2 linked regions of the Bombyx mori genome follow. The protein of the gene in region 2 interacts with the protein of the main gene of each other region in a pairwise test. Links are inferred from orthologs where the notes say so. Each region holds a gene or a part of one and is shown on either strand. Other genes may lie near its edges.

Region 1 (5,332 bases), about 2.7 Mb from region 2:
TTCATTTTCATCATCAGGGTAATCGAAAAGGTAAGTACCACATACGTATGTGTACATTAATACAATAAGTTAATAATGGATGAATGTCTGTTGTAAATAATGATAGGTACCTATGTACATCGTACACTGACCTGATAAGAACCTTTGCTGATTGCTTTGTTAAAGTTGTGATAACATAGGGCTAGTTGATACTGTTATGGGCTAGCTTGCGACTTGCAAATAGTAACCACGGAATAAGCTGTTAAGCAATGCTACTGTAGTAGTAACAAGGTACTGTATAGAAACGATCATCTATAAACTGATCGACCAGTAACGTGTTGGTATGGCAAGCAGTGTAAATCGATCTCTGAAACTATCCCCTTTACCTTACTATTGAACTTAAACCTGAGTCTAAGTAAAAGTTCCTTGCTAATTGACCAATAGAGTTACTTTGTCACCACCTACTACGAGACCCATAGATAATATAGGTACTTACCAGATATTTTTGTTTGGTTCCTTCAATAGACAGGCAAGGGAATTTTATCTCATACAGTCACATCTCGCTATTTACAAAAGGGCGAAGCGACAGGCGCCTGCTGTTAAAAAGGGGAATTTTTATTAGATTGGTGAATGAACTCGCGGACCATCTGGTGTTAAGTAATTACTGGAGCCTGCAGACTTTTACAACGTAAATGCCGCAACCCACCTTAAGACATGAGTTCAAAGGGATGTTTTTACGGAACAACGCCTGCTCCACCTTCGCTCAAACCGAGTTGCATTACTTCGTTACAGCAGAAATAGGCAGGGTGGTACTGGTGGCACAGTTGCCAGGTGGTTCTCGGGTTCTTGCAGTCACACTTTTTTACTGGTGGTAGGACCTCTTGTGAGTCCGCACGGGTAGGCACCACCACCCTGCCTATTTTTGCCGTGAAGCAGTAATGCGTTTCGGTTTGAAGGGTGGGGAGCCGTTGTAACTATAATTGAGACCTTAGAACTTATATCTCAAGGTGGGTGGCGCATTTACGTTGTAGATGTCTATGGGCTCCAGTAACCACTTAACACCAGGTGGGCTGTGAGCTCGTCCACTCATCTAAGCAATAAAAAATAAAAAAAATTAATATAAAAACACTTACAATTTCACATATTGTAATCGATTAATATTAACTTTTATAAAGTGCGCGTGTTATGATTATTAAACGCTGGATCATGTACTCTGACACCTCGTTTTCACTTATGCATGCAATAAAAGTATTTAAAACTTATTGAATGCAAAATAAACTCTATCGCAAACTCTATTGGCAACAAAGTTACACTATAATTTAAACAAGAAGCTTTCACTAATGTGGAAGATACAAATTCAAGATTCGTTTTTAAAACAAAAATTTATTGAGTTTTCAATTTACCGTAGAAAATATAAAAAAATCGAAGAAAAACAAATTGACAAGAATCATGTTAACTTTTTTGGCGTAAGCGTGAGGTGATATATTATCTCAATAGTTTGGGTTTATATTTTGAGTAGTTTTTTCATCTCATTTTATCCTTGTCACATTCCATTTCACCCTTTGCGCAAGAGAAATAGCTTTGGCTTGGGTAAGTTAAGATTCGGCTGTATAGGCTGCGTTTTCATTGCTTGTTCAATAGACGTTTCAAACAAATTTGACACAGTGTTTTGTAAAAGTTGGTTTTTATTTTCTATGTTTCCAATTTTCTCTGAATATAAATTAAATTAAATTAAGATAAAACCTGGACTAAGAATTCTCATTATTAGAATCGTGGTGTCATCTAGAGTACCCTAATAGTAAAGTATGTTTTAGATCATTCATTTTTAATGAAAATTCGTATTATGAACAAAATCGCTTTGTCACGACTTCGGCTAACCTTTCAACCGGTGGTTTTTTCACAATTTTCCCAGATGTTTCTCACACGTTCCGAGTATGATCGCGGCGTCAACACATTCAGCCCTGAAGGAAGGCTGTTCCAGGTGGAATACGCCATAGAAGCTATCAAACTTGGCTCCACTGCAATTGGCATTTGTACTTCGGAGGGAGTTGTTTTGGCGGTGGAAAAAAGGATAACTTCAACTTTGATGGAACCCACGACCATCGAAAAGATTGTTGAAGTAGATCGACACATCGCTTGCGCCGTTTCGGGTCTAATGGCCGACTCCAGGTTGGTCTCGTAATACTGAAAATGTATTATGATTATTTATATGAAGGTATATGCTGGTAGGCAGCGGCTTGGCTCTGCCCCTGGCATTGCTGAAGTCCATGGGCGACGGTAACCACTCACCATCCGGTGGGCCGTATGCTCGTCTGCCTACAAGGGCAATAAAAAAAAATTAATGTTAAAAAAATATGCGACACTAATTTTTTTATATAATTCTGCAGGACCTTAGTTGAAAGGGCCCGAGTTGAATGTCAAAACCACTGGTTTGTGTACAATGAGCGTATGAGTGTAGAATCATGTGCTCAGGCCGTTTCCAACTTAGCTATACAGTTTGGAGACAGTGACGATGATAGCGGAACAGCCATGTCACGGCCATTTGGTGTTGCTGTTATGTTTGCAGGTATGTGTAATTTAGAGCTGTTTGTTTTTTAGAATTATATATACATCAGAAGAGTGATTATATTTCTTTCATATATAATTCTTGCTCAAATAACGCCCATAAAAAATTCTAGTGTGTATAGCTAAATAAATAAGAATTTAGGAGTAAATGCTTGTTTATAAATATAAGTAAAAGTATTAATGTAAATGCAAAAAAAAAACACATCCATCGCATTTCATCAGAGTAATAGTTCTATAAATAATTATGATGTATATTTCATATCCAATTACAGGCATTGATGAGAAAGGCCCTCAACTGTTTCATATGGACCCGAGTGGTACATTTGTGCAGTATGATGCCAAGGCCATTGGTTCTGGCAGTGAAGGTGCCCAGCAGAGTTTGAAGGTAAGTACAGTGGATGTTCCATAATATCGTCTTCTCGCATTAAAACTGTATAATCTCAAAACTTACTAATTTTACAGGAGAGTGTTTTAAAGGTTTATCAAGTGATATTTTTAATATTAATCATCTTTGCAACATTTATTTTTTATTTTTTACCAGATACATTAACTGTCTTTTAAAGTAAGATAAAATTATGTATTAATTTTGTTAATAGTAGTCAAAATATAGGTAAACTAAAAAAAAACATAAAACTAAACTATGCTCTTTTGACAGTATTTATGAGAAAAATACTGGAATATTTTTGGAAATTGTACACTTTTAAAGCAAAAAGACAATATGTCAACTAAAAGATTATTATACTAACATTTTTTTGATGATATTAGGTAATCTTGAGACTTTTAGACTAAAGACTTTTCAATTAAGAGCTAATGAGGAATAGGTCTAGTTACTGGTCTTTCAACTATCATTACATGCACTGCTTGCATTTATTAGTGTTTAAAAAAAATTAATAAATGTGAGTAGTATGTAGTGCTCTTGGTTTTATTATTTAAACCTATTTGAAAAACTGGGATAAGACTAATCATAATTTCTCATACCAGGAGATTTATCACAAGTCGATGACCCTCAAAGAGGCCATCAAGTCTGCACTCACCATACTGAAGCAGGTCATGGAGGAAAAGCTCTCGGAGAACAATGTTGAAGTAGTGACAATGACTCCTGGATCATTGTTCCACATGTTCACAAGGGAACAACTTGCTGAGGTTATCAAAGACATACCTTAAAAATGTAGTTTGGTGTGCAGTTTTTGAAGGGAGATTAGACATATGGCACTAAATAACTAATCATATCTTATTATAAATCTCACATTTATTTGGAATTTCCAGAAACACCACCCTTTAAAATAAGATAGTGGAATTGGGATTCTAAAGCTATAAAGTATTTTGGCTCATTAGTAGGTAGGGCATTTATCTCAAATAATAAAGAGATCAACTCTGTTAGAAGGCCAAACCTTGTGATATTTTCTGTATTACTCTTAACTTATCAATAGATATTGATTTACAGATATAGTTTTTTTATAAGGATAATGAATTCATGTTTATCATGTCAAAATAATAATTCAGAACACATGAATAAAACTGTGTTGAGTCAGACAGTGCTACTTTTCATATAAACTTTTAGAACTATAATAATTAATGTCTACACTTCCTTCATTAACTGTTTAGTTATTAATAAAAACTAATTTTTTTGTATATCGAGTTATATTTTGAGAAAATTGTGTAAAGATATTGTATTATTGATTATGATATTTATTATTATCCTTTTTTATATATAATATTAGTATTTTTTGAATTGTAACTGTTGTCATTCTCATACTTTTCATTAAACAGATACAGATTTTGTCAGTTCGTAAAGTAAATAATTTTACAATTTCTATCGTTCACACTCAAATAGTCTCAAAAATTATTATTCTGTATTATAGAATTGAAAATTGAGATAAAGTTATAAACTGTTTTATATGTACTGTTTATTTTCATCAATCTGAGATTGACAGCCTTGTATGTGTTTGATTTATATCATGTAGTTATACTGAGTATTTCATTGGTAATGTTTCGTGAATATTTTACTTTAGTATTGTATTTAGACACAGTTTTTTTAAAATATCACGCAAGGATGAGGGCGTTGAACAGTGAGTATTACTGTTTATTAATAAAAATATGTAACATATTTAAAATTTTTGTAATTATTTCATTACCGTCATCATCTCACCGGAGATCTCATTATTTTTGCGGAGAGCGGTTGTTGACAACGCGTGCGATCGAATATTATAGAATCTGGTATCCGTGATATGGTATTCAGTGACTGACTACTCAACCTTAGTCATATTACCTGTATCAGTTCTGACCTTTCCCATTTGATTTCCTTACTAAACTTAGCTCCTATAGTGGGTTGTACAGTGAATCCGGAGTCCACATTTATTGTGCTCGTTCAGTCTAATTTTGTTTGTTGTTGTTGAGTTCACGGCCCACCTGGTGTTAAGTGGTACTGGAGTCCATAGACAACTACAGTATAAATACCGCTAGCTACCTTGAGACATGAGTTCTAAGGTCTGAGTTTTTACAGTAAAACGAATGCCCGATCCTCCAAACGCAGTACGTTTCACGGCAGAAATAGGCAGGGTGGTGATACCTACCCGCGCAGACACGCAAAACGTCCTGCCACTCGTCTAAGGGATCCGTTACATTGCTTTTTTTCTTACCTATGCTGATAGCCTTGAGAGGCTATTTCAGCTTCGCCCTAACGTGTGTCACACTGACCCTAGCAAGAGCAGTGCTTCGCAGAATCTACCACTGGATCGGAAACGCGACCCCCTGAGAAGATACGGCGAGAAACTCAGTGGGCTGTGTC
Region 2 (4,844 bases):
GCTTAAGGAAAAAGAAGAGCCATCCACTTGCACCCACTGAAGATATCGAACTTCAAACATTTCACCTGCGGCACGACCGACGAGATGATGGTGTTCAATCCCAAGTCGCGCCTCCACCGAAGCCAGCCCGAAGCGTAAACACCAGTGGAACCAACTTTGCCTTTAGTTTTGATTAAGTTAAATTTTAAGTAATTTTGTTGTGAAATGTCATTTTATACATATTTTTACTTTTACCTTTACATTTTTAACTTTTATATTTTTTACATTTTTATTTAAGCTTACGAACTATTTCATTTATTGTTAATCAATTGTTTCTTGCTCTTTTGGGTTGCCAAGATGTACGGTTTGTACATACCTAAATAATACGTGGACACGCCGTGCGTCGTCATTGTGGTGTCAGGTTATTTTATTATATTATTAGAGCAGTGCACTTAGCAACACGCACTCGTTAACACGTTACCATCTGTGCTTAACCGACATAATAAAGGTGCTCAAACAACACACTAACTCTTTGGAACTCAACAAACTTCCCCTTGGACCCCAACACTTGCGCTCTACCGTTCTCCGGGATAGACGTGACATAAACTATATTACAGTAAGAAAGTTGCGATAAAACAATCCCAAAATCAAAACTACGTAAAAAAATAAATCCTACCAAGCTGATGGTCTTGAAAGGCCATTTCAGCGTAGCCCTAACAAGTAGGTGAGCTCACAGAGCTCAAACCTAACGAGCGTAAGTAAAAAACTAAATAAGCTAAATCATAGCGATATTTTAAATAATTCAATTTCCATGTAAGAGCAACGTAACGCAAAGGCAGACCGACCGGGCACCCACGAAAGCGCGTGTGCTGTACATTGCGTGCTAATAAAAACGCTTTAATATAGAATAGCTTTTTGTATTGTTTCGATTTTCCTGTTGGGCATCTCTAGCTGTGCGCGTCTGGACAATGCACCGTCCAGTGCACTAGCAGTACTGCGGTGCCGGTGTAGAGAGCAGGTACCCACACGCACACCACGCCGGCCGCGTGCAGACTCTCCAGCGCGGTCACCAGCTCCGCGGCCCAGCGCCGCACCGCGCCCGGCGGCACCGCGTCCCGGTACCGCATGCGCGGCTCCAACTATATATATATATATTTGTTACCCACATTCATTACAAAACGAAAAAGTTATAACACATAAATGTTGTGTTCCTGTTAGTGTGTAACACTGTCTATCAGTTGTCCAGAAGAGATTACTTCGAACGACAAGACGAAAATTCTAATCTTAATTTAAATTATCAGTTAAATTATCTTGTAAAGGACACAAGAATATTCCAATTATAATGCAAAAAATAATAATCATAAGGCATTTTTGTTAGAAATGAAAATGCATTGAAATTTAGTTATAAACAAATATTGTATTATACAATATAGGATGCGCTCACCCCGGTGCCAGCGGCCGTGGTGTGCTCGTCCGGGGTAGTTGTCTGCGCGCCGCCGCCCAGCGCCCGGTCCACGGTCAGCAGCAGCTCCTTGGAGTTGTGCAGCAGGTCGCGCACGTCGTCCCCCGGCGCGGCGCGGTCGGCGAGCACGCAGCGCAGGTCGGGCGGGCGCGGCTTGGCGGCGGGCGCGGCGGCGTACCGGCGCACGTACTCGCACAGGCGCTCGCCCGGCGCGTACGTCAGCACCAGGAACAGCGAGTCCTCCGTCTCGATGAGCGCGTGCAGCCGCACCATGTAGGGCGCCGGCCCGGGCAGCACGGGGCGCCGCCACTCCCCCTCCGGCTCGTTGCTCGGCACCTTGTCCAGCACCTGCGACTCAACCAGCTGGCTCACCGGGCCTCATACCTGCTATCCGCGTCTAGGGGTGTGCGGGATGTGTGAGACTCAGCGGTCTGCAAATGGTGAGTTAACCCAAGGGCCGACCGCGGGCCCAAGGAAATTTTTGGGGGTCCTACCCACTAAAAAACTCCCTTGCATTTTTTTGGTCAGAACCCGGACAGAGTGTGAAGAGTCGTTTAGTGGATCGCATCTTACAACTCAGCAGTCCCGCACCCGCGCCCGCTGGAGGTTGAACTCGCCGGCTCAAAAAAAAACCTAACGAACTGGAGCCGGCTCTGTACGTGTGAGAACAGGGTTATTTACTTCGCACATCATCTCACTAAGAGCCACACGGTAAATAGTCGCCGGGCCCGGCCGCCCTGACGCATGAGGGGGAAGTCAAATATGTTTTTTTATGAACTATTTTAATGTGAATTCTAGACCAAATAATCTTTTAGTGCGTTTAAAGTAATTCAAAGTGAAACAGAAAAAAAGTCGACTATTGGCACGGCAGTACTCGCACCTTCATGACGTAGCACGTGTCGGTGCTGGCGTGCAGCACCAGCAGCAGCCGCGGCCGCACCACGCCCAGCAGCACGTACGCGCACAGCTCCGCACGCGACCCGCTCCGCGCCGCGCCGTCCCGCGCCGCCCCGCCGCGCTCCGCCACGCCGCGCGCCACTCCACCCGCGACCTGCACAACCGTGAGTTCACCGACTCAGAAATATATAATTAATTAACTATATATTTATGCATATTGTCACAGGAAACGATATTATGAAATTTCGCTAACAATTTATGAATGAAATACGTTTTAGTTTGAATAGATTATCGCTACGAGTATAGTCACAGTGCTCGACGTTAACTTTACTTAGGGATTTAGAATATAAATCATTAGAATTTTACTAAAATGTGAAGAACAATTCTAATGGAACGTAGAGTAGTGTGTCCTCACGTGCTGTGTGCGCGCGCTGCACAGTCGCTCTGCGTGCGCCAGGTAGGCGTGCGTGCGCTGCCGGACCAGCGCCCGCCGCGCGCCGTCCGCGTCCGCTGCAACACGCGCCGCTGTACCGTCCGCCGTGCACCAGCCCACGCCAATAGAATAGTGCGTGCAGGGCTGACACTAGCACAGTTTAACTAAATAGATAAATTCTCCACATTCCAGAGCCCAGCCCACTGAGTTTCTCGCCGGATCTTCTTAGTGGGCCGCGTTTTCGATCGGGTGGTAGATTCTGCGAAGCACTACTTTTGCTAGGGCCAGTGATAGGAACATTCCGGCCCCGTGAGCTCACCTACACACGTTAGGATGAAGCTGAAATAGCTTCTCAAGGCTATCAGCATAGGTAGGAAAAAAAACCAGAGCCCTAATGAATATTGACAGCCCACGCCACAGATAATATAACAAGTACAAACAAAGGATTTTTTGGCGGGAGGAGTGAAGTTGTGTGATTTGTTTTGAATTTTGTTTATTTCGTTTTTAATAACGGTGGTTTATTAAGTGTTTAGTATCTGTGAAAGTGCATAAATGTGGGAAAATGAAACAAAACTGCTGAACGTAATTTTTAAGTCCACTGAGAAAATCTCAGTAAATAACCACCATTTTACTAAAATCATATTTCATCTCATCTCATTTCATTTAATTTCATGACAATTCATGAAGTTTAAACAAACAAGAAGAAATAAACAAGAAGAAGTACTAGTGTGAACGTTCATTAAATTCGGACTGTACTAGTGTGAGCGTTCATTAAAGTCGGACTGTACTAGTGTGAGCGTTCATTAAAGTCGGACTGTACTAGTGTGAGCATTCATTAAAGTCGGACTGTACTAGCGTGGGCGTTCATTAAAGTCGGACTGTACTAGTGTGAGCGTTCATTAAAGTCGGACTGTACTAGCGTGGGCGTTCATTAAAGTCGGACTGTACTAGTGTGAGCGTTCATTAAAGTCGGACTGTACTAGCGTGGGCGTTCATTAAAGTCGGACTGTACTAGTGTGAGCATTCATTAAAGTCGGACTGTACTAGCGTGGGCGTTCATTAAAGTCGGACTGTACTAGCGTGGGCGTTCATTAAAGTCGGACTGTACTAGTGTGAGCGTTCATTAAAGTCGGACTGTACTAGCGTGGGCGTTCATTAAAGTCGGACTGTACTAGTGTGAGCGTTCATTAAAGTCGGACTGTACTAGCGTGGGCGTTCATTAAAGTCGGACTGTACTAGTGTGAGTGTTCGTGAGTGGTGTCGCTGAGGTGCTCACAGCGGGCGCCGACGAGTAGCTTCTCGATGCCGGCCTTGTAGTGGTCCAGGGCGCCCGCGTAGTCCCCCGCGTCCTCGCACCGCGCCGCCAAGTTCAGCATGTAGCCCGCCTCGAATATGTAGCTGTCCTCCGTCCTCGTCCCGCGCCCCGCGTGCGAGGGGGACAGGGCACTGTCTGCTACGTAAACACTATCTAATTAGTGAAGCCGGGACTTTTTGGCGGGAACGCAAGAAGTGAAGTTGTGTGAATTGTTTTATTTTGTTTATTTAGTGTTTCTTCAGGTTTAAATGTGTAATAACGGTGGTTTATTAACTGTTTAGAATCTGTGAAGGTGCACAAATGTGGGAAAATGCCGCTGGACGTAGCTTCTCGGGATCCTCCGAAAAATTAACTGAAAAAGTCTCAGTAAATGGCCACCATTTTACTGAGGTTATATTTCATCACATATCATCTCATTTGTAAATTTTATTCGTTTTTAATCATTTATGTTATGTCGCGATTAGTTTCCTTCGTTTTTTATTATTCATAAACTGTAAAGAATTAAAACGGCGAATTATAAAAATCTTGTTACTTGACGCTGGCTAATGCACAAATCGTGCCGGAGCCAAAAAAAGAAAATTAGTGAAGCCATTCGGCTTTATATAAATACTAGTGACCCGCCCTCGCTTCGCTTCGGAAACATTAAAACACACATGAAACAAAACAAAAAAAAAAAAGTTAAAAAAAGTAGCCTATGTTCATCAGGGACAATGTCGGCTTCTAATGGAAAAAGAATTTTTCAAATCGGTCCAATAGTT

The links. The genes of interacting proteins can lie anywhere in the genome.
Region 1: the proteins of ribosomal protein S6 kinase delta-1 (region 2) and proteasome zeta subunit interact in a two-hybrid assay, tested with the Drosophila melanogaster proteins (2 studies listed by BioGRID). The link is inferred for Bombyx mori from reciprocal best matches to the Drosophila melanogaster genes CG7156 and Prosalpha5.

Annotation. Positions count from the first base shown.
Region 1 is NC_085134.1:3,203,312-3,208,643, reverse strand, and holds the start of proteasome zeta subunit, read left to right. Parts: upstream 1-1,589; 5' UTR 1,590-1,782; intron 1,783-1,891; coding exon 1,892-2,148; intron 2,149-2,366; coding exon 2,367-2,545; intron 2,546-2,816; coding exon 2,817-2,929; intron 2,930-3,525; coding exon 3,526-3,687; coding exon of another isoform or gene 3,688-3,708; exon of another isoform or gene 3,709-4,658; intron 4,659-5,332. UniProt on the Drosophila melanogaster protein: The proteasome is a multicatalytic proteinase complex which is characterized by its ability to cleave peptides with Arg, Phe, Tyr, Leu, and Glu adjacent to the leaving group at neutral or slightly basic pH.
Region 2 is NC_085134.1:498,828-503,671, reverse strand, and holds part of ribosomal protein S6 kinase delta-1, read right to left. Parts: intron 4,225-4,844; coding exon 4,048-4,224; intron 2,849-4,047; coding exon 2,754-2,848; intron 2,493-2,753; coding exon 2,322-2,492; intron 1,790-2,321; coding exon 1,424-1,789; intron 1,119-1,423; coding exon 1,006-1,118; intron 1-1,005.